Linked DNA regions of Lonchura striata. The protein of the gene in region 1 binds, or shares a complex with, the protein of each later gene. Links are inferred from orthologs where the notes say so. Each region holds a gene or a part of one and is shown in the gene's direction. Other genes may lie near its edges.

What was found.
Region 2: the proteins of SNAP25 (region 1) and VAMP3 are in contact, whole or in part, in a crystal structure (PDB 5KJ8), measured with the Rattus norvegicus proteins. The link is inferred for Lonchura striata from reciprocal best matches to the Homo sapiens genes SNAP25 and VAMP3. Residues at the interface, in NP_112253.1 of Rattus norvegicus: Asp147, Leu150, Glu151, Val153, Ser154, Ile157, Leu160, Arg161, Ala164, Leu165, Met167, Gly168, Ile171, Asp172, Gln174, Asn175, Ile178, Asp179, Ile181, Met182, Ala185, Asp186, Asn188, Lys189, Ile192, Ala195, Asn196, Ala199, Thr200, Met202; in NP_476438.1 of Rattus norvegicus: Ser15, Arg18, Leu19, Gln21, Thr22, Gln25, Val26, Glu28, Val29, Ile32, Met33, Asn36, Lys39, Val40, Glu42, Arg43, Lys46, Leu47, Glu49, Leu50, Arg53, Ala56, Leu57, Gly60, Ala61, Gln63, Phe64, Ser67, Leu71, Lys74.
Region 3: the proteins of SNAP25 (region 1) and SYT1 are in contact, whole or in part, in a crystal structure (PDB 5KJ8), measured with the Rattus norvegicus proteins. The link is inferred for Lonchura striata from reciprocal best matches to the Homo sapiens genes SNAP25 and SYT1. Residues at the interface, in NP_112253.1 of Rattus norvegicus: Lys40, Asp41, Ile44, Leu47, Val48, Asp51, Glu52, Glu55, Gln56, Arg59; in NP_001028852.2 of Rattus norvegicus: Cys277, Arg281, Lys288, Val292, Leu294, Glu295, Asn336, Tyr338, Asn340, Arg398, Arg399, Pro400, Ala402, Trp404.
Region 4: the proteins of SNAP25 (region 1) and RPH3A are in contact, whole or in part, in a crystal structure (PDB 5LOW), measured with the Rattus norvegicus proteins. The link is inferred for Lonchura striata from reciprocal best matches to the Homo sapiens genes SNAP25 and RPH3A. Residues at the interface, in NP_112253.1 of Rattus norvegicus: Glu38, Asp41, Ile44, Arg45, Leu47, Val48, Met49, Asp51, Glu52, Glu55; in NP_598202.2 of Rattus norvegicus: His617, Ser618, Ala621, Ile648, Ser649, Ala650, Lys651, Gly652, Leu655, Tyr659, Leu662, Lys663, Lys665.

What each region holds. Positions count from the first base shown.
Region 1 is NC_134605.1:23,467,419-23,474,266, reverse strand, and holds the start of SNAP25 (synaptosomal-associated protein 25), read left to right. Parts: upstream 1-3,831; 5' UTR 3,832-3,973; intron 3,974-6,848.
Region 2 is NC_134626.1:4,507,286-4,514,665, forward strand, and holds the start of VAMP3 (vesicle-associated membrane protein 3), read left to right. Parts: upstream 1-4,373; 5' UTR 4,374-4,477; coding exon 4,478-4,479; intron 4,480-5,878; coding exon 5,879-5,960; intron 5,961-6,501; coding exon 6,502-6,660; intron 6,661-7,275; coding exon 7,276-7,327; intron 7,328-7,380. UniProt on the Homo sapiens protein: SNARE involved in vesicular transport from the late endosomes to the trans-Golgi network.
Region 3 is NC_134607.1:48,122,960-48,130,829, forward strand, and holds the start of SYT1 (synaptotagmin-1), read left to right. Parts: upstream 1-4,859; 5' UTR 4,860-4,988; intron 4,989-7,870. UniProt on the Homo sapiens protein: Calcium sensor that participates in triggering neurotransmitter release at the synapse. May have a regulatory role in the membrane interactions during trafficking of synaptic vesicles at the active zone of the synapse.
Region 4 is NC_134620.1:11,540,200-11,547,505, reverse strand, and holds the start of RPH3A (rabphilin-3A), read left to right. Parts: upstream 1-4,300; 5' UTR 4,301-4,572; intron 4,573-7,306. UniProt on the Homo sapiens protein: Plays an essential role in docking and fusion steps of regulated exocytosis.

The sequences.
Region 1 (6,848 bases):
TGAAGGAAATGACACGGTTATAGCACAGCTGTGGAAGGACCAAGCCAAGGCAGGGGGAGCTGGGGGCAGCAGTGGAACCCAGACTCACCAAATATTTAAGTCCTGGTTGCTCTTTAAGCAACTATTCAGGAAACACCTTTGAGGATCTGACTCTGCACATCTAAAAGAGTGATCAGGAAATCAGTGGGGACTCATCTCCAAAGGTCTATGTTGCAATTGTATTTTAAATCTCTGTATTTTTAAACATAAACCTCAGAGAAATCTTGGTTTGGCCTAAACTGGAGTACCTGATCACAGACAGGTCCTTAAAAAAGCCCACAGCCTAACTGTATCTAGAGATCCTGAACATGCAGGGAAAAATTAGGCCCAGCCATTCCCTCCAATTTAATCAGAAGCAGCCTGGGGCAGATAAATGCAAGTACTGTTGATGGTCAAAATTCAGAGTTACATAAAGAGCAGTGAATGACAGAAAGTAATTAGGAGTTCTGCATAAAGGGCTCCATACTTAGACTGTTATTTCACAGCCCATATCAGACTGGGGCATGCCTCAGCACCTCAGCCTGGGAACAGGCAGAAATATGAGAGGCTGGGAAATGTTCAGTGCTTAAGCAGGTACGTTTTTACTCTCTTATTTGCTTTATACTTAGTTCAATTTCTTTCCCACCACATACTTGAGGCCAGGATGAGCAGCATTTGGATAAACAAGATATTTCCCTCTCTGCTGAAAAAAGAAAAAAAAAAAAAAAGAAACTGTGTGAGGAAGGTGGAGAGACTAAAGGCAGTCTTTGTGTTATAACTGACTCTAAGAGAGTGCAGGAAATAACATCCAGGATCTGGTGGCACTTTGAGCATTTTGGTGCTCCCCTCACTTGGCTGCCTAACAGCCCAGCTTTGCAGCACACAGGAGTGCGAGTTGGAACTGGAGGGGATGCTGTGAGCAGCCAGGAAGTTCCCATTGCCCACAGATCTCAAACCATGGACAAAGCAGGTGTCGTTCTTTCCCCCCTTAACCTGCTGCAGGCTGTGCCTGTTCTGCCCTTCTCTGGCTCCTGGCCAGTGATGGGGGAGCACACATCCTGCTGCTGTCATGCAGGAGAGCATATTCCTGCCTTATTATTCATGGGCTGTGCCCACAGGTACTGCTTGTTAAGCCTGCTGAATATTTGTCTGAATAAATTAGAAGGAGCTGAATCATTCTTAGACCAAATTCCGGTTTTCTCTCTTGTCCTACTTCATTTATAGGTTTCTCTTCTCACATATCCCCTGTACACAGTGTGAAACAAGTGTTCAAATAGTACTAGATAGAGTCAATAAAATCCTCATGTGTTTTCTCTTTTTTTTTTTTTTAATTATCCTTAAAAGATGCTAAAGAATCAGTTAAAATTGTTTAGTAGCACTTATTGCGACAGAAATTCCGGCGCTGCGGTGCAAAAGCCTGCCCCCCTCTGCATCTCCCAGGATAGAGGCAGCCACATTCCTGAACAGCACATGGTTCATCCCTTCCCTTGCTCATTTTCAGAATGAAAGGTAGTTGTTCCTACTAAGCTTATTGGGCAACGTTTGTGATCTATTTAATGATTCTGCCCTTTGTTGTTTTATTAAACTATGTGATTTCTGCTGCAGCAGAGCTGAAAAATGAATCTTAATTTTTTTTTTTTTTTAATGCGATATCCCAGTTTTTTCACTGGAAAACTACCTCTTATCCTCCTCCCACTCCCTCTCTGCTGTCTCTTCCTTTTACCATTCCTTACATCTCTTTCCCCAAGTTATGCTGCATTTTATTTTGCCTTCACTGCATTTTCCTCCCTGACTTTTGATGCAAAGAGCTAAATTCATCCCTGCTGGTATCCAATGGACTGAAATTCTTCTCCGAGGCATTATTGGGCTGAATCCAAACCCAGCCAGCATTTTGCAGGGCTGGTGGCTTAGCCAAAACAACAGTTTATAATCTCTCTTATCCTTCCCTTACCTACCGTTAATATGAATTAATAATAAGTGCTAGTATTGCTGTCTCGAAAATCATACTTGTTTCTGAAGCACCCATCAACCGAGCTGTCTGACTGAGAATTCCTTTTTAATTTTCCCTGTGTGCTAGGAAGTTGCACATGGGCAGCTTGGATTCCAGAGCAGGGCTCGCTTTGGGATTCCTCTTGCCATCCGCAGTGCACACCTCACCCGAGTGCTGGGCACAATTAACCCCTGCGGGAGCCAGCCTGCAAAGGTTTCTTTTCCCAAACTGCCGTTTATGACGCTAAATGCATTTTCCCAATCAGGCTGCTGCTCCAGATCCCTCACCTGGAGGGGGATGTCTGCACAGTGTTAATCTCAGGCTGTGTTTACAGCCCGGGAACATGACAGGTTCTCTCCTTCCCTGCGGTTTCCATGTGCACAACTCATTAGATACTCTAATGCAGCAGGAAGCCCATCTCGACTGAGAATTCCTTCTCGTATATTTAGCAAACTTTTGACTGCTTCCTTTCAAAAGAGACTGAAGGACATATTTTCGTAGGAAGAGGGTGAGACTCACAAAGCACGATCTACAGTCACGTTTTTCTGTGGGGAACTACAGAGCAGGGTAGGAGGAATCACCCGCAATTCTCTCTCCTTCTCCCCCGCACCTCCCTCCCCTCCCCTCCCCTCCCCGTCCCTCCCCCATGCCCATACAACCATAACACGAGATGAACGCGCTCCAAAATACAGCTGCAAAGCCTTCCCTCTCTTCTGTCTTCTTCTTGGCAAAAGTGGGGGGCAAGAAGAGAGGATGAGGATGGAATTATCCTAACGTGCAACTGATATTTTGACTCTGCCATAACACAGACTGTTCAGAAAAGCCTTCACACACCGTGTCAGAGTTAAACCCAGGCAGGGCTCACTCACTGCTCACAGGAGAGGCTGAGGCAGGGAACAGGGAGGCATCGTTGCTCATCTCCTGGTCTGAATGGTTCCATAAATGAAAGCCAAGGCTTGTGGGGTGAAAGGCAAAGAATGAGTGAGGTTATGAAAAAGAGCATCGCACTTTGACTGCAATCCCCAACCTTCATCACGATCTCCATTAAGAGATAAATTTTACAAACATACACTGTTTTGTATGAAATGAAAGTATTTCCTCCCCATTAGAAATCACGCTGGAGACAGCTCCATTTGCTCCAAATTAGGTACACTCAGAATGAATATTTTAATTAATTAATGATAAATAAGCCAGGCACTTTTCCTCTAACAGAGTTACCGTTTCCTTCCTCAGCAGCAGTGGGATGTGCTCACTGTGCTGTGTGTGTGTTCATATACTTGTCCAGGCTTTGTTTTTGATTTCTCTCTCTCATTTTTGAACCTGTCCCTCAAATGATCAGTTACAACACATGTCCTTTAACCATGGATTTCCTCGTGTTTGGCTGCCCCGACTTTGGAGAGGGGGGGGAGGAGAGGGAGACTAAACAGAATAACACACCCAGACCCCTGGCAGGATGTTCTGAGAAATAAAAAGAGGGGAGAGAAGGAAGAATTCACACGTAAAAATAGAAGCCCACGTAGATTGGCCATATATGGAGTACCGGGGACTTCAGAGGGATACCCTCTTCGGACCACCCCTTTGGCGGAGGAAATCGCTGCTGCGGGAGGGCCCCTGCCCCCCTGCCCGGGCGGTTCGCCCGCAGCCACCCCCAGCCCGCCGCCCCGACCCTGGCCCCGGGGAGGCGGCGGCGGGGCGGCTGCGGGAGGCGGCGGGGCCGGCTGCGGGAGCGGTGCGGCGGCGATGACTCAAACCCGCCCGGCCCGCTCTGCCCCCTCCCGCTCCCCCCGCCGGGGAGGGCTATTAAAAGCTGCTGACGTAGGAGCGGACGGCCATCTTTGATGAGGGCACGGCTCCCGATCCATTGAAGAAGGAGACCCGCGGAGGTCAGCAGCCTCCTGTCCTTGCCTCCCATCCAGCTGCGGCACCGACCCACCGACCCCGCCGCGCCGCGCTCCGCCAGCCCAGGTAAAGGTGGGACACCACCGCGGGCACCGGCTCAGCAGGGGGAGGGGCGGTATTGACGATAATGAAATAGAGAAAAGGGATATGTTTAAAGTGGGACCTGCTCGGCTTTTTATCTCCAGCCTCTGGGGCTGCTGCGGGGACAGAGAAAGGCAGGGAGAAGGGGGCGATTTCGCCGCCAGCCTCATTGCCGGCTGAAGCCGGGGAGGCAGCCGGGCTGTGCCTCTCGGCCGCGCGGGCGGCAGGAGGCCGGAGGAGAAGGCAATGTCGGAGAAGGGGAACCGGCGCCATTCTCAGCTCCGACCGGGGAGAAGGGCGTGCGGGCGCTCTGCGCTGCTGGGCCGGCCCGGGCTGTGCCGCCCGGAGCACTGCAGCGCCCGCAGCGCGCCGGGCTGCGACGGAGCATCAGCACCGCGGACAGCGCGGGGCCCGAGGGCACGGGGAGGGGACGTGCGTCTGTCCGTGTCTGTCCGTGCGTCTGTCTGTGTCTGTCCGTGTGTCTGTGTCTGTCTGCGTGTCCGTGTGCATGTGCTCAGCACCGCGGACAGCGCCGGGCCCGAGCGAGACGGAGCGGGGACGTCTGTCTGTCTGTCTGTCCGAGTGTGTGCTCAGCACCGCGGACAGCGCAGGGCCCCGCGCCGGGACCGGGGGCTGCGAGCCGTCCGTGTCTATGTCTCTGCGCGTGTCAGTGTGTCTGTGTACGTTCGGCACCGCGGCAGCGGAGGCGGCCGTGCTGCAGCGCCCTGCGGCTCCGCGCCCCCCGCCCCGGGGCTGCCCCCCCGGACACGGGACTGGGAAGAGATTCCCGACTGGCGAGCGGCGGTGCTCCCTCATTCCAGGACAGAACCGCGGGCAAGCGCAGTTGTGGTTCTGTAGCTCAGAGTGAGAAGAGGGAGAAATAAAATTTAAAAACCAAAACCCAACCAAACAACGACAACAACAAAAGGCAAATAACATCAGTTCCTGCAATTAATCGGCGTTTGGCACTCCAGCCCCTCTCCCTGGAGAGGTGTTTGTGCAAGGAAGGCGGGGGTTACATAACGCCTAGCCCGCGGGGTCCCCCCGGGGCCGGGTCCCGCCCGCGGAGACCACCGGCAGCCCCCCGGGGTTCCCCGCAGCCGCGCTCCGTGTCCCGGCGCCGCTGCCCGCGGGCGCCTCGGGCGCTGCGTGCCGCGGGCTCCGGCGGCGCTGCGCCGTGACACGGGGGACATCAGCCCGCGCCCCCCCCGCCCGGCCCCGCGCTGCGGAGCGGTGCGGAGCCGCCGCCTTATGTAACGCGGGCTGCCCCGTCACGGCTCCTGGCCACAGCTCCCCTGGCGCCGCCGGTGTTCCCTCCGCCCGTCCTTTCCACTTCCTGGCACCCCAGACGCCCAAACGCCTCGGTGCGGTCCCAAGTTGGCAACTTCGCTGCAGTTTTTTTTTTTTTTTGGGTTTTTTGTTTGGTTTTTTTGGGGTTTTTTTTTTTTTTTTTTTTTTTTTCGGGGCGAATAAACAAGGGGAGAAAGGGGGATTGGGCTGCGTGTCCAGACACTGAGCTGCGTAGCTGCGTCAAACCAGAGTCGCGGGATCTGCCAGATTACGTGCTTGGCTTGAATAATTGCTGCTGGTTTCGTTCCCAGCTGAAAAGCAGAGGTAGGGGGGGAAATGGGGGGCTGGTCTGCGGCGCTGCCCAGGGGTGGCAGAGCAGTCCCTTAACCCAGACCCGTTTGCTTCCAGCCCAGGCCACAGCATCTGCAAGGACATGCCTGTCCCACACCCCCACCTCGTCCTGGCTCTGGGCATGGAGCAGCTCCCCCAGTGATCAGCACGAGGATGGTATGGGGCAGCCACCCCTTCAGGTGGCAAGGGGAGGGATGGAGCCATCTGGGAAATGTGTGCTCCGGTGGGAATGGCTGGGGAAGACACTCTCTCCTAGGCCCCCAGGCACCTGCACATCCCTGCAAAAAAGCCAGCCTAGGAAGAAGCAGCAGTGGTTTTCCATTGCTTCTGCATCGTGCAGAACAGGTCAGCCAGGAGGTGACTGCTGAAGAGTTTGGTTCCTAGGATGAGTGCCAAAAAGATAACAGAGGTGACCAAACCAAAGATGCAGGCAGGCCTGACTGGCAAAAGCAAAAGCTTGAGGCTGCCTCTGAAGTCAAGAGGTGCTGCAGAAACTCAGCATGTTACAAAACCAAATGCAGCTAGATAGCAACCCCAAATAAATGCAGCTTAACTTTTTTTCCACATCTAACTAGAAAATGAGAGTGACATTTCTGAGAGCTCTCGGGACCAGGCTGTGTGTCCATTGAACTCATGGGGGCAGTGAAAGAAAGAACAGCAGAATCCAGCCAGCACGAACCCTCAAAATACATCTAATGAGATGCAGCTCCACTTCCCAGATTTATTGCAGTGAGGTAGGAGATGCTTTTCAGGTCAAGGAAAGCTTTTCATTTTTCTCCCTATGCTTTAGACATGGCAACAAATGACAAGATTAAAGTGCTAAGGCAAATAAAGCATGGTCTCTGCCTAGTGCTTGCACTGCTTTAACTACATAAGGTAACGAAACAAAACTCTTTTCCTGTCAGTGTGAACAACTTCAGCGATTTGTATGTCTATGTGTCACACAGCTACAGCTGCTGCATTTGTAGCAACCCTCAGGGAAAAATGGAAAATATATGGCATGGTGTAGGACTCAGTTTGCTAATGATTTCTTCTCTCAGGAATGAAGAGCAGAAACTGTTTTCCCTTTACCTTGGCTTGTTGTCACACCATTACTCTTTCTCTTGCATTTTTTCCCCCCAAATCTCTGTCATAACATTTTATAACATAAGGAGGACTCTTTCATCTATACACATTTATACCCACACACACGCTTATTTCAGAGATTTTCAGGGTTCCA
Region 2 (7,380 bases), on another chromosome or scaffold:
CAAATAATTTGTAAAACATGTAGCTTTTTCTCTTATGTACTTGTCAAACCTCTTGTCATTTTGCAGAGTCACGTACATATGTTGCCTGGACATTTTATGCCACCTAAAGATCAGTGGTGCTGCATTCTGGCCAGTAAATTTCTTATTTTGGCTACTTCATCAAAATCTGGGCAGTTTCTGTATATATAGAAGGTAGAAATGGAAAATGAGAAAAAAATATTTGAAAGGGAATATATTGATTAATTACTAAATATTTTATTCACAAAGGGTCAATAACTTGGCAAGATAAAATTATTATTTGTATAGTTTTGTCTGAATGAACGAGAAGAGTGTGGATGTATTGTTTGTACATATTGTATATATTAAAGAGATATGTGCATGAACTCAAGAAAAAGAAATGAACAAAGCAAAGCATTAGTGGCTATGGTCTGTAAAATGAAACAAAAACTTTATTTCACTATAAGAAACTTTATTTTAAATGTTCTTTAGAAGAACATTTTTGCTAAAGCATGACTAAATGGCAAAAAAGAGCTACTGTATTTAGACTTAGGAAAAAAAAGGCAGAGCAACATTACTTTAAAAAAAAAAAAAAAGAAAAAAAGGATATGTTTACATTTGATTTTGGCTACCAGGAGTTTGGTTCAGTTGGGTTTAATTTATGTATTCCTTCCTTCTTTTTTTTTACCCCCGTCTTTTTTTTTTCCTTTTTTTTTTTTTGCCAATGGTGCCAAGTAATGTGAATGCTAATATTGCTTAAGAAAATTAAGTTACTTTTGCAAAGCAGATAATCATAAGAGTACAAAAACCGTATCTAGCTTAACACCATACACTCACTCCAATAAAGAACACTTAGAATGAACATAAAATGAAAAAAAATAAATAAATAGTACGAAAGTAGAAAATATGTTTCACATTTTCATATCTCCTGCTGGAAGTCAGAAAATGTAATAAAAATTGCACAAAAAATTTTAAAAAATTAAGTAAAACTTAAAAAAAAAAAAAGATGCAAACTGATCCTGTAGGGGTGTCATGGTATATTGCTATTTCCACATAGTGAGGAGCCAAAGAAATTAGATTTTTTTTAAATTGAGCTACTAATTTAAAACTGTCACAAATTCTCAACAATGGGAACCAGTTCTGATCTTCATTACACAGGAATGTAAGGGAAGAAACTCCTGAAGTCCGTGTCATTACTTGTGGGTCACGTACATGTGTCTGAGATCAGAAACTGCTCCTGTCTGTTTGTCTCACTCGTGGCAGTTTAAAATTTCTGAATGAACTTGTGTAAATTTGAGATTGTTAGTTTTGGAATAGTTGTTCTTGCTTGATCCCGGCCACCAACTGCAATGTTTAAACGCAAGGCTTGTTGTGAAGCCAAAAAATATTCACACATAGGAAGCTTTGAAACTGGTGTCTTTAAAAGAAGAGTAAAAACAAAGATTGTGGCAAAAAAACTGGGGTCAGTGCTCTTGGTGCCTTTTCTATAATTGTACCTGTTTTTAATTACTTCTTTTCACTGCCAGCATTGAATTACAGTAGATGTGCTATAGCTCATTATCAGAATTCTCTTGTACATTTCTGAACTGCTGCTTTATGACCTGATTCAATTTTAAAAAAAGGGAAAAAAGCAAAACAAATGGCCTGGCGCTCACACTGTGCCTGTGGGCAGCCTCGTGGCCTCAATTTACTGTCTGCAATTGGAACATTAACCATTAAATTTTCTTCTCACACCAAAACAGAACAGGAGACGCTGGAGAATCTCCTTTGGAATGAATTGGAAATGCTCTGTATTAGTACTGGAAGAACTCTTGACATTTTGAAACTGAAATACTGCACCCATTAACCAATACGTGACAATATAGAATTGATCTGTTCCAAACAAGAGTAGTGACCTCAGTGGAAATGTTTTAACTCCTCGTCTTTACAGAAAACGATTCAGTAATATACAGAGCTATTTCAAATTACTCTTCCAGATCCATGGGCCTGGTGGTGTATCTACTAATCTAGATCCTGCTTCAGCCAAACGTTTAAGCCTGTGCTGGCTGTGAAGCATGCAGGCAGTTCTGCAGCACAGCTCCAGGACTCCTGGCGTGCTTGGAGCCAGTTCAGCTCCCAAGTGCTTTGTTGTGTCGGGCCGTAACCCTTCAGTGTGTCACTGGGGAGGGAGCAGCTCTCCCCCGCAGTGAAGTGATTCTTCGAACCCTCTTCTTGGTTGTGGAACTTAACATTTTCACCTAAGATAAGTAAGTGCAGCTTTCTAGGAAAATTCAAATTCCCAAGTGCCAGGAGCCAGATTTTCTGTCTTCTGATAATAGAATCGCTCCTTTGTGAAACACATTCGACAGCAGTAATACTGTGTGAAAGAAATACAGAATATAACATGAACCCCCTCTCTGGTTGCACGCTTATGGCAGTTCCACACAATAGCTGGTGCCCAATGGGGGGTCCCCAAGACTTGCATGTAAAACTAGTATAGATGTCTTCTCTTTTGTAAGTTTTATTTTTGTAACTGTGCATGTAAAGCATCACTGAATCAATGGATCTGTTGAAGAACTCAGCTGCTGGAACCATGCAAAATGTTTTGAATTGCCCTTAAAATATGGAAAATGTTTTCTGAATGCTTTATATTCTTTCTGCTGTAAATTAAAAAAGAAAATTTCCCCATACAAAGTGTGTGCCTTCTTCTGAACACGTCTCTTCTTCTGAACACCTCTTCCATCCTTCTTTGAGAACAAAGTAGTCCTTTAGTCACTCTTAAGGAACCACACACAAAAAAAAGTTTCTGCTCTACACGACCTGCTTGTAAGAATATTGCATCTGATTTCTTACAGGTTATGATGTAACAGTCCACAGCCTGCCCATGAGCAGGTGCAGCCCCCAGAACTTTGTTTGCAGTTCCTCTGCAGTGGGCAGTCACTTCCAAGGTTTTTTGTGAGAAACCATATAGAGCTGGTAGCAAAATAAATCCTACAGTGTACACAAAGCAGAGTGAAACAGCAGAATTCAAGAGGGCTGCTGATGCAGAAACCTGAGAGGTCACATTTAATGATACAATTAACTGAGACACAATAACTGTTGCGCTAATAAGTATGTTGCTCCGCTCACATGAACTGGTCCTCGGGAACAAAACTTGTACCAGACTAATGGCAAGCCCAGCAGGCAAAACCTGAAAGCAGGTTTAATAAATTAATTATCTGGTCTGTCAGAGACTGTGTTAGTACCATCATGAGTAAGCTTTTCCAAAACCCAGCTCCACAACTGAAGATTTCAATAAGAGTTTCTTCTTGACTGCAGAGAAAGTTTGATTACGTTTCTCTTTTAGAATAAATCAGCATTTAACTCTCCAAATCGCTCCCATTTTTCCATCTTACATAGCTGTTAGTTGCTGGGTTCTTTCCTATCGTGGCGGGTTGACCCAGTCCTGAAAGAAGGCGCCTCCTCCTTCATCCCCAGGGGCATCGCGGGAGAGAACTGAAGACCAAACATGAGGGAAAAAGAAATGCCCGGGATGAGATAAAGTTTGATAAGGAGGGGAAAAATAAAAGATAACTCAGAATACGTGGTGCAAAGGCAGCCAGCGCCTCCCTCCCACCGGTGCCCTGCGGAGTTCGGTGTTCGCTGGCGGAGCAGCCCCGGGGCTCCTGCGGGAGCGCTGCCGGCAGCACCGACCCCCGGCGTGTGACCGTGACCGGCCCTGCTCGGGGCACCGACAGCTCCGTGCGGCTGCCGGGAGCGGCGGCTCCAGCCCCGCCGGGACCGGGCGGCGAGCGCGGGGCGGCCCTGCAGCCAGGGCGGGGGACAAGGACAAAGATAAGGACATGGACAAAGACAAACACACCCCCGGCTCCCCTCGTGCGCTGCACGGAGCGCTCGGACACGAGTGACAACGGCACGGAACGCTCTTGGCTGTGTCTGTCTGTCCGTGCGTCCCTCCCCGCGTGTCCGTGCCCCTGTCAGTGTGTGCGTCTGTGTGCCCATGTCTGTCTGTCCGTGTGTCTGTGTCTGTCCGTGTGTCCGTGCCCGGCCGCTCTCCCCGTTCCGTTGTTGCCGTTGCCGTTCCCGTGCCCGCCCGGGGCGGGCGGTGCCGGCCCAGCGCCCGGCAGCGGCCGCAGCCCCGCCCCTGCAGCCCGCGGGGGCAGGGCCATGGCCCGGCCCCGGTCCGACTCCGCCCCGCGCCCCGCTCCGCTCTCGCCCATCGCCCCCGCCCCGGTCCCGCCCCGGCCCCGGTCCATCGCCGCCCCGGTCCCGGCCGTCGCACATCGCCCCCGTCCCGGTCCTGTCCCGGTCCCGGCCGTCGCACATCGCCCCCGTTCCTATCCCGCCCGGGCCCGAGCCCGTCGCGCCCGCCCCGAGCCCGGCCCGGGTCCCGCCCATCGCCCCGAGCCCGCCCCGTGACTCGTCAGCGCGGGCGCCGCGCGCAGCTCCCGCTGGACCCGCCCGGGCGCTGCCGCCGCCCCGTCCTCGTCCCACCGCCAGGATGTGAGTGCGGGGCGAGCGGGGGACGCGGGCAGCGGGGCGATCCGGGGAGCGGGGGACGCGGGCAGCGGGGCGGGCGCAGCGGCGGCGGGAGCAGGGCCCAGCCCGGTCCGGCCCGCGGGCGGGGTGCCGGGAGGGGTGCGCGGCGGGGCCGGCGGCGGAGGCGAGGCCCGGCCCGGCCGAGCCCGGGGCCGCCCGCCGGAGCCGCTGCTCGGGCCGGGAGCGGGGCACCGGCCGGGCTGCCCCGCCAGCCCCGGGCGCGGCTCGGAGCGGGGCCCGCCCTGCCCGGCACCGGGGCGTTGCTCTGTTTGCAGCCTCGCAGGAAGCGCTGTCATTTCCGAGGCTGTTCACCTGGCACTGAAGCGGCACCAAAGGGTGGTGGCAGCGCCAAAACAGTGACACTGTGCCGGCACCGAGCCTTGCCCCGGCTCCAGCGCCAAAACAGTGACACTGTGCCGGCACCGAGCCTTGCTCCGGCTCCGGTGCCAAAACAGTGACACTGTGCCGGCTCCGAGCCTTGCCCCGGCTCCGGTGCCAAAACAGTGACCCTGTGCCGGCTCCGAGCCTTGCCCCGGCTCCGGTGCCAAAACAGTGACACTGTGCCGGCTCCGAGCCTTGCCCCGGCTCCCGCGCTGTGCCTGCACTCGTTACGTGCAGTTAGAGGCCAATGTCTAAATGTGTATACACAGGAAACAGACTTGGCTGCTTGGAGTGCCAGGGTGCACTAAACAAGCTTTCACATCTGATGTGAAAGAGCTAAGAACATGGAAAAGGAAATTGAGTGCTGATAGTTCTAGAGATGTGCATTAAAACCTGGCCAGGTGGTGAAAAGGTAATGAAGAGTATGTACAGAAGCTCTTGCATCCGTTATAAAGATGCAGAGTGTTGTAGCTGGTAAAAAGAACTCTGTTACGAATTTAAAGCTGGCCAAAAGTAAATTTTTGTGTTTTCCAAATACTTTTTCCTTCTGGTGCATTCTCTTGTTCCATATCAACCATTTCAAAAGAATACAGAAGTGTCACTGGAAAATCACATAGCTATAATAAGTATTAAGTTTTTGTATTTTATTTTTTGTAAACTACTATTGCTTGAAACTTAGTACCTGTGTTCATATGGGAAAGAAAGAACACCCTGAGTCCAAATTGCTCACTGAGGCCTATGGAGCATTGCTGGAGCTGACCCCTGCCTCATTGCAATGTGTGGTGTTAGCAAGCCACTGCTGCCTCTTGGGACAGCATGCAATTTGTTCACAAGATGTTTGGGACACTGCATGAGTTGTGCTCACTGACAGCTGTTAAAACACCATTTCTGCAGTAAGAAAGTGCCCTGTATTTATTACATGGATACCAGTGTCCCATTTTCAGGACTGTCAGATGTCTAATGGTGCCTTTCTTTACCACAGGTCGGCCAATGTCCCTGGAAGCTCAAATATGGCTGCTGGCAGCAATCGCCGGCTTCAGCAAACCCAGCACCAAGTAGACGAGGTAAAAGTCTGGTCTGCTAGTAGTGTCAGCCTCTTCCTGCAGGAAACCTGTGCAGTTAGAAGGGATATTTTTTTCCAGAGCAGTTTTCCCTTCATTATATGAAGGGGAAGCAAACAGAAGTTCCCAGTGTCCAAACATCAGCTGCAGTCTTGGTGCAAGATTTGGCATAAGTAATGACAAAAACCTTTGTTTATAGCCATGAGAGCTGGCTACCAAATGTGATTCTTGTGGAGTCCAAAAGCCAGGCTGGCAAGTATTTCTTGACATGGTTTACTATCATGTTTATATTCCTCAACTCCTTCTGAAGCAAGTCAGGAATTGTTTCCCAGGTCTGAGGGCATGCCAGCACTACTGACTTTTTAAAACAGGCATTCAGGGCTTTTAGCCATAAGTGGATTTCATAGTTTTCTTGAAGTTTATGGCTGAATATACTAAAAGGCAATAGCTCCTGCTTCTGAGAAAGCACGGAGTACCTCGTGCAGCTGCTTGCTGTCTGTGATTATGTTGCACACCACTTACTGTAAGTGTTGAACTGCTGTAGGTTGTTGACATCATGAGAGTGAACGTGGACAAGGTTTTGGAGCGGGATCAGAAGCTGTCAGAGCTGGATGACCGTGCTGATGCCCTGCAAGCAGGGGCTTCCCAGTTCGAGACCAGCGCTGCCAAGCTGAAGAGGAAGTATTGGTGGAAGAACTGCAAGGTAACCTCGGCTTGTGTGCTCACTCTGCGCCTGTAACGCTGTCACATCTGTGTTTCAAAAGGCAGGAAATGTTTAGCCAATGTTTTTTAAGTCACAGCATCTAGTTTTTAAAGCATGGCATTACTTTTTAAAGTAACAAGCAGCTGTGTTACCGGCCGTGCTGCCCTAGGCAGGATCTTGTCTGATAATGGCCAGAGGGAAGCATGTCAGTAATCTGAGGCTTTGAGAAACAAGAAGAAAAAGCTAAAAATGCATAGCTTGAATTAATGTGTGGGAAGTATTAGAAAGTGGAAGAAGCTCACTCAGACTCCTGTACTTGTAGCTGTTGCCAAAGGTTGGATTCATCTTTGGTGAGTAACAGAACAGCTTGTGCATTCACTTGGGACAGGCTTTATGTGGAGAAAGTCATATTGCTCTTTTTGCCTGTGTGCATGGCCTGCCACCTCTGAGTGCTAGTAGTGGATTAAGCTTGCTGACTGAAGAACCTTTGCTTGCTACATTAGATCTGACAACCAGTGCTAAAAGTCCCTTGCAGGGGCTGTTTTCCTGTACCCTGAGGGGCTTTTGGTGCTGTTGCATGCTGTGTAGTAAGTGTTGTATGTCTTTTTTTCACAGATGTGGGCGATATTGATAGGTGTTGTTGTCATTATCATCGTCATCATTATTAGTAAGTTTGACCAAAATGGGGGTTTCTCCTAGATTTGGAATGGATGGTGTTAA
Region 3 (7,870 bases), on another chromosome or scaffold:
AAACATAAGCATATTTTGCATTTAAAAGTCAATTTGTTTGAGTCTCTCCATACAGAATTATGCTTAATTTGTATTGGAGACATGGAATGTGCTCTCTTATGTGCATTGTGATAGTCAATTCATACTGATTTGAAAAAACATTGTTTAAGTCTCAGCCCTCTCCTCAGAGGTAACACTGACTGCCATTACACAGATCTTCCACCTGTTTTGCAAGGTCACTCCTAAAAATTAAATTAGAAATGACATTTTGCATTCTTTTATTACACAGTCATCCATGATGCATACAGTAACTGTGGATTAGAAATTTTACATTGAGTAAGCCATAAGGTAAGAAGATTGATAATATCTGGGTGTTCTGGAAGCTAAGAGTTCAGTAGTTTGTCATTTTACATAGTAGATTGTGCCTGAAAAGGAAACTGGGACTTCAGCTCATCTTAGCTTAACTGAAAAGTATTTTTTTCTGGAGTGCCATCCTGAGCACCTCTTTGGTGAAAACTGACTTTCAAAGAGGGGAGGGGGATTAGGAATGCATATCTGACAACCCAAAAGAGAATCCCTGAACTAGGGGCACCATCTACAGGGGAACAGACTGACACTGACTCAGATCAGTTCATGCATTACATAGCTGACATCTGTGCAAAGCATATGCAAGTTGGTTTGGCTACACTTGAACACCCCCTCAGAGTACTTCTGTTTTCATTTTCATTTCTGCTGCCATAGTGTCCAGGAGCCCTGGGCACAAAGCAGGAGCTCTCAGTGTCAGCTGCTATACAAATGCAGACTAAAGGAGATCATCTCTGCCTAATCAACTTAGAAGCAGCAGCAGATGTGTACAGATCAAACAGAAGAAAACAATGAAATCAGATGACAAACTGAGACAAATATCAGTGAATGGACTAACAAGTTCTTTGATTTTACCCTTTGATTTTTAGCTATAATTAAAACCACAAACCCACAACATTTATTCTCCACTCTCTCTACCTAAATGGTAATCATATACATTGTTAGAAAAATAATCTTCAAAGATGATTTGCTTAATGTAACACTTCCATTAGTTGTGTATAGTTGAATAGTTACTCCAGTATTTATTAATTTTACTGAAGGTTAATTGTCACTTTAGGGACATAGCTTTCTTTCTCTGCTTTCATGTCTTTCATTCTAAGTGCATCATCACCACTCAGTAGGTATTATGTAAACTTTACTGAAACCAAGAGTGTGACAACAGAACACCAAAATGGGATTCCAAGTGTTTAATTCTCAGCTATACAGACCAGCCCTTGTATACCCAGTAAACTGGAAAAAACATCAAAACAATAAATAGCCATTAATATGTTAAAAGAAATTTCAGAAACACATTCTTAAACTACTGCAATAAGAGCCTATTTTTAAAAGCTGTTCCATTTCCCTAAGCAAAACCCAATTCCTTTATCTTCCCATAAAAGTACTTCTCTAAAAACTAACTTGATGATGGAAAAGACCAAATCAAAGCACAAAACAGAAGTAAATGACATTATAATGAAGAACAAAATAAAATAATTTTTCTGTTAAAGACAAGGATCTGTAACCTTGTGACACAGAAAGCCAGTTCAGTTAGTTTACAGATCTACCTGGTAAGTAAATTAACATGCTACCAGTTTTATTTACTTATTTATCTGCCAGTGATTTGCTCTCATTATTTACCTGACTTCCCATCTTGTACATCTATTTGTGGCAGTTGTGATACTTGGTCACACAAAGTGTGACCTACAAAAGGAAAAAAGTCAAAGACCTGATTGCTTTTTTGATGTGTAACAACTCCTGTTGCTCCTGAATTAGCCTCAGTTCAGTGACTGCCATTCTAGTATCTGCTCTTCGTATGCCATAGAACTTGCCAGGATAGGCCCAAGAATACTGGTTTCATTTGCTTTGGCCCAGGCTTCCTCCCTCTTTATGGATCAAGCAGGAGTCTTTCATTTTCCAAATCTAATTTTTATGGCTCATATTGCTTTCTAATCTTGAAGTCACAATATACAGAAAGTGAAAAATAAAAATAACAAACAAGGAATCATTTCTGCTCTTGCTTTTTATTCAAAATTTTGCCTGATTCTCCTGTACCTTTGTCTCAGTCTAAGTCTAAAACAAAAACAGAACATATGAAGAATATAATGGAGCCTAGCTCTCCATTTTTATGTAGCAAGATACCTGATGGAACTTCTGAATGGCTGACAGTAATTAAAATTATCTTCTGATGCACTAAAACACATAAAAAAAATTAAAATGCCAAAGAAAGCAACAAAATAGGGTTTACAATAGAATTTCTTCTGGATTTGCATGTTTCTTCTTTTTTCTCATAATAGGATCCTTTCTTCTTCCCTAAACACAACCATGGAAGAGTTAATAATAACAAATACAGTCATGTATGTTTCATGATTTTAGAGGCTAGCATTTGGCTAGCACTCCAAGCATTCATCAAATGGCTCCTGAGCTCTTCTAGAGCATCTTTGTCCATTCAGGATATGTATGTCATTCCTTAAGCCTCACAGCTTCCTTTGGTATAATTAACATAATGACTGGATACTAACTACCCATTTCCTTGAAAATGCAGTAGTGAAATAAAAATTGCAGGACTGAAAACCACTTTCTGTATGAATTAACCTTTGAACTTGAAAGAAACTGAAGGAAGCAACTTTTCAGCAATTCTTTCATTGCAAACAACCAAGCTCAGAAAATAATAGGCAAAAACTCTCCCAGCCACTTCGACAGCTGGTTTAAGTTTTTTGTTTGGTTGGTTTTTGTTTTTGTTTGGATTTTTGTTTTTGTTTTTTGAGGTTTTTTAAACATAGCAGAACAATTATGTATGGGCTACCCCAGTCAGAGAGTGCAAAAGTGATGGTATACTCTTCAGGACTACTACTAGATAGCATTTCTGTTCCTTGCTATCTGTACATTAAGGAAGGGCCATTGGGCTTCAGTGATGTTTCTTGTCTTTGCTCAAATACTAAGACAGCATATGATGTGTCATGCCTTGTGAATGTCAGACTCCCACAGACTTCTGGCTGTGTGGCTGTTAGGAACTCAGCATCAAGTCCTCATAATTACTAGCACTGAAATGTGTGGGTTTTTTAACTGACCAGATAAATGTTCCTGGAGAAAATAATCCTTGGTATCTCTTGTATTGGTACAGAGAAAACAGCAATCCTTTTAAATCGTACAGGGTAATCTGAACACAAGTGACACTTCTGCATATGCAGTTTAAATTATGGTTGTTCCTCCTTTCCATAGCTCAGTAAAAGCTTTACAATGTAATTTCTTTTGCATTTGCTTTCCTTCTCTCCTCTCATGGTCTAATGTGCCCATACAAGAAAAACTGATATTCTGACATAACAGACCTAAGAAAAAATGCGGTCAGAAAAACTGAACTGGAAAAGGGCTGTGAATTTTAGAGTCAAATCCAAACATGAAAGTATGGATGGGGAATGGCAGAATACAGTTCTATTGAAAGCACAATAAGTCACCTATGAGATGTGCCTGGGGGCCGTGTGACTTTCTCAGTTACCTGCTGACGATGGCATACGGGCTGGTCTCTTTGCCAACATCTGCTATCTATATTAAGATGTACTTTAGGTACTTTTCACTCTCAGTGTAATAACAGAAACTGACTAAATGGTTGTGAAATATATTACTACTTTCTTAAGTTTTCTTAGAACAACTGTAATCCAGCAGGATCATATACAGTAGCACATCAAACCTGAGCTACAACCTGTATGTTCAGTACCCTGTAACCAATTAAAGGTTAGGGGAAACACATACAGAAATACCACCCTGTTGTGTTTACAATTTTGCAGGTAAAATTGTTTTCCTCCTCTTTGAGGAATATTGCTTGTTATCCTCTTTGAGGGTATAAATGCAGCAGTAATATATGCTGAGGAACAAAGAACTTTAGTCTGTTGTGTTTTTAAAAGCTAAGCTTACATCTAAATCTATTTCCATTTCCCTCTGGAACCTGAGCAACTTTTTATGTTATATTAAACATCAGACAAATAGGATAGATCTAATTAAAAGTTGAAGAAATGTGCTTCCCTTAATTGAATTTGTTACAGTTACATTTTGCAGACCAGTGTTAATCAAAGCTCCAGTTCAGAGTGGATGGATCAAGGGAATTAGGTTAACCCTTGCACGTCCTTACCTGAACACGCGATACAGTCTGCTCTCGCCTAAGCCACAGAAGCCAATTACGACTCACCCCGCTGGGTCGCGACTGCCCGGGGCGGCGGCAGAGAGGGGGCTGCGCGCCGCAGGCTCGCTAACAGTACCAACTACGCCTGCCGGGGGTCGCCGCCGCCCCGCGACCTACGGGCGAGGGGCACTGCCGCGCCTCGCCCGGGGCACCCGGCTCGCCCGACGGCCGCGGGGCTTGCGGTACAGCGCGTCGTGCCGGCCAGCGGCAGCCCCGCGGCCGCCCGGGGATGCCAGCCTCGCCCGCCGCGCGCGGGGATACCCTCCTCATCCTCCCTATCCTCATCCTTCTCCTCCGCCCGCGGCCGCCCGGCCCCGCCCGACGGGGCGGACGGGGACCCGCGGCCGCGGGATGGGCGAGGCCGGCGCGGCGGCTCCACCCTCGGTGGGCGCCGGGCGATTGGCCGCGGAGCGCGTCTCCCCGCCCCGCAGCCAATGAGGGCGGCGGGCCGGGGGTGATGGGCTGCCTCTCGCGGGAGGGATTCCTGGAGACGCTGCAGTGTGGCGGCGCTCCCGGCGCCGCGCAGCCCCCGTGCCGCCTCCGCCGCCCCGCCTGCCTCGCCTTGCCCTGCCCGCCGGCGGCCGCCACCGCCGCTGAAACTTAACGCCCGGCGCGCCGCCTGCCCGCCGAGCGCAGGGGGCTGGGGCAGCCTGCCTGCCGTGCCGGGGGCGGTCCGCCCGCGCCCCGCCGCGCACCGCAGCCTCGCCCCGGGAGCTGCCGCCGCGGGGAGAGGCTGAAGGACGGAGCCGGCTGCGCCCGCCCCGGTTGCCAGGTAAGGCAGCGCCCCGGAGCTGCCCGCAGCCGCGCCCGGGCGGCGTCGCCGCGGGCGGGGGGGGCTGCCCGCTGCGCGGGCGGGGGGAGCGCACATGCTCCGGGGGCGGCTGTACCGCCGCCCGCCCGCCGGCTCTGCCCGCACTGCCGGGGGGCGGGGGCCCGCCCCCGGGGCGCTCCCGGCGGGGGTGGGGGCGTTTACGGGAGGGGCGACACAGACAAAGGGGACGCCCGCGCCCCCCCCCCGCCGCCCTCCTTGCTCTCCGCCCCCGCGGAGCTCCGCCGTCGCCCCCCGCCCCGGCTGCAGGAGAGGGGAGCCGTCCGCTCCGCATCCCTCCATCCCTCCGCACCGCTGCCCGGAGCCGGCGCCGAGGCGGCCGCCGGGCCAACTTGTTTCTCCGGGTGTCGCCTGGCCGCTGCCCCCGCCGTGCCCCCGCCCTCGGCAGGGTGCTCTGTCCCGACGGCCGCCCCGGCGGAGGGCGGTGGGGCGCGGCGGTGCGCCCCGCCCCCGGTGCTGGTCTCCCCTCCGGACCGCAGGACAACAGCTAATCGTTTATGTATCAATTCACGAAAACCTTTCCGTCATTACTTAGAAAGGCTGTCAGGCTAATGTGTTTTCTTTCCGTGCAATTTCATTTTCCTTCATGCCGAGTACCACTTGCCCTGCTCTGGTTTGGGTACGTTCAGTTCTGGTTCCTAGGTGCACACGGTATGAGCTGGGGATCAGCGCTCTGTTTAAAAGTTAATTTTGCCTATTCAAACTCCACTAGGTACAGTAGTAAGAAAGTGACAAAGAATGTTCATGTTTCTTTTGTTTCTAGCCTTCTGAAATAAAGATATCAAACGACTACTAGCTTCTGGTAGTCAGTATAGTAAATAAATTAAATGTAGTCGTTGGAATGAGCTTTTATGGCACTTTCAACAATCTGTAATTCAATCATCTCTTATACAAGCTGCCTTTTGCTATTATTCATCAGACCCAGTTGAGTGATTTCTGTCAGATGGGAAGTGGTAGAGAGAAATCTCTAGGTAGATGTAACTGAAAAGCTTTCCAAGTAGAGTCCTAAATGAGCACAGAAAAGCACTTGGCCACAATCTCAAGACAGATGTTGGCATCCAAATAAATAATTTCTTTTGATTGTCTGGGGGATGTCAAGTTTTATTTTCCTTATTTAATAGCCATTTGCGTGTGAATAAGTAGTTCTGTCTTTATTACCTTGTAAACTCAATGCAAAATGTTGTAGTGCAATAATATTTCACTGTCTCTGAAACCATATTTTCTGTACAAAGGTCAGTGGAGTAGTTCCAGATACGCATACATGTTGTAGATGACAAGTAGACTCCTAATCTGCAGTGGTGATATTGATCCTCAGAGCTGCTGTGCAGTGTGCCATCCATGTTGCATGCTAATCTGTTACGCGCTGTTTAAATTGCTTTATTGTCCGGGAGAGTTACTTCATCCTAAGAAAAGGAAGAAGGTACTGGCAGACTCAAGGGGACTTTCCTTTCCCTGTTGAGTTGACATCTAGAGTTACAGATGGGCAGTTGGTTTAGGAGTGTCCCTGAAAAAGGGAGGGGGAAGCTTTTGGGTACAAAGACAAGTAGGCAGTGAATTAATTTGCTTTGTGAGGATATGAAATGACATCCCCTGCCATGCTTAAAAAAACCTGCTTGGAAAAAGCGTAAGGAGATTGCACATGTGTCTAGAATACTGTTTTCTTGTCTGTCTTGGAAACAAATGACCTGATTTTATGTCTTGAGACAAATATGTATCTCTTTTGGTTCCAAGCTTTTTGGGTTTTTAGTTCTATTAGTAGTGTTGAGGGAAATATACTTTAATGTGGTGAATTACTTGGCTTGTGGTATATTTGCTCAAAATTTGCATGCATACAATTCATAAATTGAAACTATATAGCTTTAAAACATAGTGTAGGCAGCTTGAGTGAGAAGAGATAATTTCAAAAAGAACCACAGGGCATAAGATAATGACATACTGTAGGAAATAATCATACTCCTGCACTTGCAAAAGCATGAAGTGTTCCCGTGTAGCCATTTCATACAAGCCAAATTTTCCTTCACATTAAGAGCGTCTAAGTGAGCCTTATTAATGTTTGATGTGAAAGATGCTAAATCCATTTTAAGGGTTGGTACTGGAATTTAAAGAGGTAGCTCACAGACTAACAGCAGTTCTAATACTTCCTTAAAACAAATGTGAAAAATAATCAGTTGCCATGTATGCCACAGCAGTACAAGTGGCATACAGCATTCAGTGTAACACTGATGGGCAAGAACCCCTTTAAAACCATATAGAACAGTGTTTAGCAATCTGAAATGATCTCCTACCTTAATCATAACAGATCAGATGTAAGAGATGACCAAGAAGATGCTCAGTGTTGGTTAGTGTAGTGAAGGTGTGAGTTAAGGGAAGGTTCTGTTTGTCAGAAACCTAGGGAAAAAAAAAAAATCTATATTCTTCCAGCTAGCATAGAGACACCGGAAACATAAAATCAATTTTTATGGTCTTTCGGCAGGGTTGGCTGTAATAAGTAAAAAGAAGGAGCAGCTTAGTGTCTTGGCAGAAGTTTTTAAGCCACTCATCTGTACAGAACTCAGTTAATTGATGTTTCCTCATATGAAAATGAAGCTCTTATTTAGCATCTTGTTGTCTTTTCCTGTCCATTCAGTAGTCTGGTTACAATTTAAAAAAATATTTTTATGTAGTTTTATACTTGCATGCATGTTTGAACACACAGATAAACTCTACTAGGAGCTGCTTTCTGAATAAAGGGTGCATGCAACCTCATTACATGCTGTGGAAGAGACATTAAAGTTTGTGATAGGAATGAAAAGGACAAGAAAATATTTCTGCATATCTAGAAGAAA
Region 4 (7,306 bases), on another chromosome or scaffold:
CCAAAATGAAACAATGCCCAGCCCTCCTCAGCCCCAAACCAGGAAGGTTCCGGGCCCCTGCCTGCAGCTGAATACAAGACAGGCCAATTAATTAAATCAGTAAATAAGTTCTCCTAATCCCATTAACAAGAGACGAGCTGGAGATTAAATCTTTGATGGCACTTGCTGCAAAATTAATGCAGGCAGTGTGTTCGGAAATGTATTCTTCCCCTCACCTCGGCAAGGGGAACAGTGCAGTTTTATAGGCCGGGGCGTTATCAGGAATGGGAAATGGATGTAAAACCAGCACAGATCTCATTAAAAGGATGTAATGAGCTGCTGCCACGCCAGATCCTGCCTGGGCCACCACGGGGAGGGGCCATGGGGGTGCTGCTGAGGGCTTTGGGGTCCCCGTGGGATTTCTCAGCTCTGGGGTGAGGCAGGAGGTGCCTGGGAAAGGGGATTTTTCACCCAGGGTGAGAGGGAGCAGGGAGGGATGCTGGAAGCTCCCCGGCATCCCTGGCAGGTTGGGAGCAGAGGAGTGACAGGTTGGGGGGGTGGTGAAAAACATCCTGGAACCCTCCCAAGGTGCTGCTTCTCCTCAGCTTCTCCAGAGGAGAAAATCCCTTCCCCAGCCCTCGGAGCAGAGGGACGAGGGGGGAAAATGCCATTCGTCTTTTCTCATGGTTTGTTTTTTTGTTTTTAACCCAGCTTTTTTTAACTTTCACTGGGGGATGAATCAAGGCTGTCTCCTCCAGCCTGTGCCTGCTTTGGTGTTTTCTCAGGGTGGGCTGGAGGGGTTGGAGGTGTTGGTGAAACGGGGGGGATCCAGCTGCGAATCCCAGGGATGGTTTTCTCCCGCTCCAGCCTAAATCTTGCCTTGGCTTTTTCTCCCCTGGAAAAAAGGAGATTCAAACTGTGTAATCCCCGAAATTCTGGGACAACCTCGCTGGATTCAGCTCCTGCTGCTCCCATCACTCCTCCATTCTCCTGCTCTGTTCTCCTCCCCGTTTTTTCCCAGGAGTCGTTCCCAGCGTGGAGCTGCTCTGGGAGGCTGGAGATGGATTTGGGGTTCTGGTTTATGGATCCTTTCCCATCTTTCTCGTGTTTCCAAGAAGGAAATCCCTCTAAAGCCCTTGGTGGGTGGGATGGGCAGGACACGCCGAGGAGGAGTTAAAGTCCTTGTCACATTCCAGGGAGATCCTGGAGGCAGATCCATCGGGATCTGTGGGAGAAGCAGCTCAGCGATTTACAGGAGTGAAAACTAAGTAAAATAAATGTCAATTAATTGAAATAAATATGTAACAACATCTAAAGTGTTTAGATCTAAAGTATCTAATAACGTCTAAAATGTCTAATCATTAATCAGAATGAAATTAGGCAACAGGACTGAGAGTTGTGAGCAAGGTCTCCTCAATCTAAATCCAAATTCTCTCCTGGAAATGAAATACAGCTACATGTTGAGAAAAAAAAGAAAAGAACATTGAGCAAGGATCTTCCTTGGAGAAGTGAGAGAAAGGTGTCACGGCGGGCTACCTTTAATGATTTCCTTCTTAAAACAGTAAGGCAGCAAATAGGAGACCTGAGGTCAATGCTTCATTGAGCCTGACGGGATTCGAATTTGTATTTTCTGCCTCCTCAAGACCCACCTTACACTCTTGGCTAAATGGGGGAAAATTTCTGGGTATTCTGGGCCAGAGTGCAGAGGAGAGGGTGATAATCAGCTGTGGGTCTCAGATTCAGTCAAAGAAAGGAACTGAGAGTTTCTAACCAGGCAAAACCTGGGAAAGAGCTGCAGAAGAATGTAAATAATTCTTTATCTCTCTTGTTTTTCACATTGTTTATAGCTAAATTCTATCACTGTGCGTCAAGCACTGTACACCAATGGGGTGAGTTGTTTTCAGAACCAATGGATTTGATCCTTGTGAAGCTCTGTATAAAAGCGCAGTGTATTTTGAATAAATAGTATTTTAGTGTTACAGCCTTCTGGGTCAGAGTCTCTCTTCATTCCCGCCCTGCCTCGACAGCGACAATCATTCCTTTAAGTCTTGCTGGTGGTCATGAGTTCTGCTTCGTCCTTCTGTAAAGTCCCTGGGCGCTGAGCTGCCATCAGTCCTTTCCATTTGACTCACTGGAGCTGCTCAGGGAGGGCCTCACCTGCTCCTGATCTGTTTTCCCTGCTTTGGAATCAGCAGCAGCAGAGTTATCCAGAGTTTTTGTGGGCCTGAGCTCCGAGAGTTTATCCATTGCCACTGGAACTATTTTCACCTTTCATCATCTTTATATTAATAATGGTATAAATATTACAAATATTATATAAATTAAATTAATAATTTTAATTATTTATTAATAATTAATAAATCATTACTTAATCTATGAATTAAAATTAATATATAAATAAGTAAAAACTAAATATAAAAATGAATATAAAACAGATCTACAAATACAAAATAAATCTATAAATATAAAACAAATATATAAATAAATATATATACATATATAAAAAAAACATATACGTGTATATATAAATATACATATAAGTATAGAAATAAATGTATACATGAATAAATAAATGACTGTATCAATGAATATAAAAATGACTATATAAATAAATATATAGCCCACCCTGCTTTGATCTGCTGGAGGATCTGCCAGACTGCCAAACTGTAGTTCCAATTCCGAAAAAAAAAAATTCCAACTGGCTCTTTTATTTTCAAAGAGGGGCTAAAAAAATAAAAGGAGAGTGGAAGTGGCAGGGATTTAGAGCAGACAAGCGCAGGTGTTGCTTTGTTTCCTTTATGGAAAGCCACTTTTAGATCTGATTTTCCGATTGATGCTGCTTTTTGTGAATCTCCAAGGAAGGTGTCAGGACAGATCCCTTTGAGAGTCCCTGTGCTGCTCTCTCCGAGTATTTTGCATAAGCGAGGCAATTTTTTTGCTAAATAAAAACAGTTGGGGCTGGAAGAGAAGCAAATGTCCATCGAGGATGCAGCTGATGCCGATCAACACTCAGCCTGCAGTGCTGCCGTGCTTCCCTGGCTGGAGGCAGGGAAAAGCTCCGTCCTTCAAGGGTTTCTCTCTTTGGGGATTTCTCTTGCCATGCCCCCAAAAGCAGGGTTTTCATGGGGGGGTTACTTGCAGAAAAAAAAAAAAAAAGGGTTACTGGGGAAAAACCTTTTATGGGAAGTGGTGGAATGGAGCTGGAGGAAGAAGGACTTGGCCAGAAGGAGGTCTCGGCGTGGTCCAGGAGGTCCCCGGGGCTGGGAAGGGCTGCCAGGCTGTGGGATCTGCAGGGATCGGGGAGGGGCAGCAGCCCCCACAGCTTTTGGGGGATGCTGCAGGTGGGCAGGGTGTGAGATCCTAAAGTTCATCCCATTCCAACCCTGCCATGGCAGGGACACCTTTCACCGTCCCAGGCTGCTCCAAGCCCTGTCCAACCGGGCCTTGGACACTTCCAGGGATCCAGGGGCAGCCACAGCTGCGCTGGGCACCGTGGGCCTCCCAGGGAAGAATTCCTTCCCAAAATCCCAAAATCCCACCCAGCCCTGCTCTCTGGCAGTGGGAGCCATTCCCTGGGTCCTGTCCCTCCATCCCTTGTCCCCAGTCCCTCTCCAGCTCTCCTGGAGCTCCTTTAGGCTCTGCGCTCTCCCTGGAGCCTTCTCTTCTCCAGGAGAACATTCCCAGCTCTCCCAGCCTGGCTCCATCCTTGGGAGCCTCTTTGTGTCCCTCTGGGCTCCCTCCAGCAGCTCCAGGGGCTCCCTGTGCTGGGAGCAGCTCTGCAGGTGGGGTCTCACCTGAGCAGGGAAGAGAGGGATGGGATGGGATAATTAAAATTAAAAAATAAAATAAAATAAAATAAAAATTTAAAAATAAAATAAAATAAAATAAAATAAAAATTTAAAAATAAAAATTAAATTAAAATAAAATAAAATAAAGTAAAAATAAAATAAAATAAAATAAAAATTTAAAAATAAAATAAAATAAAATAAAATAAAATAAAATAAAATAAAATAAAATAAAATAAAATAAAATAAAATAAAATAATAAAATAAAATAAAATAGGGATGGAAGATGAGGGTAGGAGAGGGTTGGGGAGGAGAACGAATGGAAAAGACACGGAGAGGGGATGGGCTGGAGGAGAGGACGAGCTCAGGGGGTCCCGCTGTCCCCTCCCCAACCAGGGGCAGAGCCAGAGGGTCCGAGCGGCTGCGCCTGGGAGGGGGCGGCTCCTCGGGGCGCGGAGCGGGGCGGCCCCGGCCGTGTCCCCTCCCGTGTCCCCTCCCGTGTCCCCTCCCGTGTCCCCTCCCGTGTCCCCTCCCCGCGCCGTCCGCAGTGCTGCCACCGGAGCCGCGCAGCGCCAGCGCGGCCGTGCGCGGGGAGCGGCCGCGGGACCCGGCACCCCGAACCCGGCACCCCGAACCCGGCACCCCGAACCCGGCACCCCGAACCCGGCATCCCGAACCCGGCACCCCGAACCCGGCACCCCGAACCCGGCACCCCAAAACCCGGCACCCCCAAACCCGGCACCCCGAACCCGGCACCCCGAACCCGGCACCCCGAACCCGGCACCCCGAACCCGGCACCCCGGCCCAGGTAAGGGGGGATCGGGGGTCCCCCGGGCCGTGGCCGCGGGGCAGCAGCGGCGTGGCGGGGGTGGCTCAGGAGGCGTCGCGGGCTCCGCAGGGACAAAGATCGGGATGCGGCTCTGGGGGTCGGGATGCTCGTCCGGGGGTGCTCCTCGGCCCCGCGCCCCGCTCTGGGCCCGGGGAAAGTCGCGGCATCCCGGGGGTGACACCCCCAGCCCGCGGTGGCGCCCGTGGGTGGCCGGGGGAGCGGGTCCCCGGCAGCGCCCGTGGGTGCGGGTGGGGCGAGGCTCTGGGTGCTGCCGTGCGCGGACAACTTCCAGGCGTGTTGGGCATTTGCGGGGCTTGAAGCCCCCAAAATTGTCTCTTTTCCCCGTCGCTGGGGTGTGCTGCGGTGGCACCAAGGCCGAGCCCCTTCCCAGAATCCTGGCAGCCAGGGGATGTGGGGAGCGCCCCGGCGCTGCTGCTGGCACATTTTGGGGTGCTCTGCTCCCTGGTAGGGCTCTGCAAGGGCATCGCTGCCCGGCTCAGGGTGGCCCGAGGGCTCTGGCAGGTGCTGCTCGTTCCCCAGGATGGACCAAAGCGATGCGAACGGCAGCAAAAAACCAAAAACCTTTGTGGAGTAACCCGGAACCTCCGGGAGGCAAAACCGCCTCGGGAATCAGGCTGAGGCTGCTGGAAGCTGTCGCTCCCAGGGATGGGTTCTTCAAAAAAAGGCACCTGATTTTATATCTCTTGCTGGTGTCTTTCTAGTAATTCTGGTTGCAAGCTGGAGCAGCAATTTGTCTTTGTGTGATGATGAACGCTCCTTCGTTTCCCTGCTCGAAGAGCTCTGAGCAAAGGCAGCTGCCCCGGCCGTGCCCCTGCTCTGGGCTCGGGCCGTGCCACGCTCCTCCCGGGATCCTGGGAGTGTTTGTGGATCAGCCTGATCCCCCTCGCCGTGAGGTTGCAAGGGAAAAAAAAAAAACCCAAACAAAATAAAACCCCAAAACCAGATAAAGCTTCCAGATAAACACGGCCAGTTGGCTCCAGGGATGCAGAGATGAGAACAGATGAGCCATTTGCTTTAATTACTGGTATCAAAAGCCCAGGCTGCAGCTTAGCCTGAAAAGAAATATTGTTAATGTTGTGACACTGGGCTCTATTTGATGATGCATCATTCATCCGGGAGGGATGGAGCGAGCTGCGAGCTGCTGCTGGAGGGCTGACTCAGATCTGCCTCAGGGATTCCGCGGGGCGGGACCGGCCTGGGGCCGTGGGGCTGAGCCCCACTCGCGGCTCCGGGAATTGCTGCCGCAGCCCCCGGCGCCGGGCCGGGCATCCCGCAGGAGGGGAGCGCCGGCTGGGCGCTCCTCGCCCGCAGCAGCCTCGGGCAGCGCCGGGCGATGCGGTGGGAGCTGCTCGCCCGCACCTGCAGGGTGGGAACCCAGCGAACCCCAGCCCCAGCACCGCGCTCGGAGCCGCCGCCTGGCCGCAAACCCCATCCCCTGCTCCAGCTCCGCTTGCTGCCGCTTCCTCCACACGCTTCCCTCTGCGCTGCCCCGGCCCTGCTGGCTGTGCCAAAGGAATTTCATTTTTGGGTGGGGATGCCCCTTTGACAGCCCGGAGCCCGTTGCGGGGCTCCGCGTGGGGTGAAACATTCCCGGCTTTGGAAAGGGCGAGGAAATGCGGGGTCTCGGCATGGCTTCGTGCGCAAGTTTGGGGGGACCTGTCGCGGGGGATGGCAAGGAGCGGGTCCCGGGGCGGTGGCAGCAGCGGGGACCCCCGGGCCGGCTCGCTGGTGGCCCCGGCTCGGTGCCCTCCCGCCGCCCGCAGCGCGGTGACGCTGCCACTGCAGTCGCTGCCAATTAGCGCCGGTGCTAATGAACCGCTCCAGGTGGTCCCAGCCGAGCCCGCAAGGGCCGGGGAGGGAGGAAGAGAGGAGGGAAGGAAGGAAGGAAGGAAGGAAGGAAGGAAGGGAGGAAGGAAGGAAGGAAGGAAGGAAGGAAGGAAGGAAGGAAGGAAGGAAGGAAGGAAGGAAGGAAGGAAGGAAGGAAGGAAGGAAGGAAGGAAGGGAGGAAGGGAGGGAGGGAGGAAGGAAGGGAGGGAGGGAGGGAGGAAGGAAGGAAGGAAGGAAGGAAGGAAGGAAGGAAGGAAGGAAGGAAGGAAGGAAGGAAGGAAGGAAGGAAGGAAGGAAGGAAGGAAGGAAGGAAGGAAGGGAGGAAGGAAGGGAGGAGGAAGGGAGGAGGAAGGGAGGAAGGGAAGGAGGAAGGAAGGAAGGAAAGAAGGAAGGAAGGGAGGAAGGGAGGAAGGAAGAGAGGAAGGAAGGAAGGAAGGAAGGAAGGAAGGAAGGAAGGAAGGAAGGAAGGAAGGAAGGAAGGAAGGGAGGAAGGAAGGAAGGAAGGAGGAAGGAAGGAAGGAAGGAAGGGAGGAAGAGAAGGAGGAAGGGAGGAAGGAAGGGAGGAAGGAAGGAAGGAAGGAGGAAGGAAGGAAGGAAGGAAGGTAGGAAGAGAAGGAGGAAGGGAGGAAGGGGGCTCTGCTTCCCGAGGCCGGGCTGATGAATTCCGCCGCCTTCCCCAGGCCCGGGAGTGGCTGCGGGTGAGGCTGCACTGCCTGAGGAAGGTTCACGTTCCCTTCTCCAGCCCTGGCAGGTCTGGATGCAGCTCTCGGGATCTGGGGTGCCACTGATGGGGGCACGTCTGGTTCCGTGAAGCCAGGTATGGAGGGGGTGATGGGGAGGAGAGAACTGGGGAAACTGGGAGCCC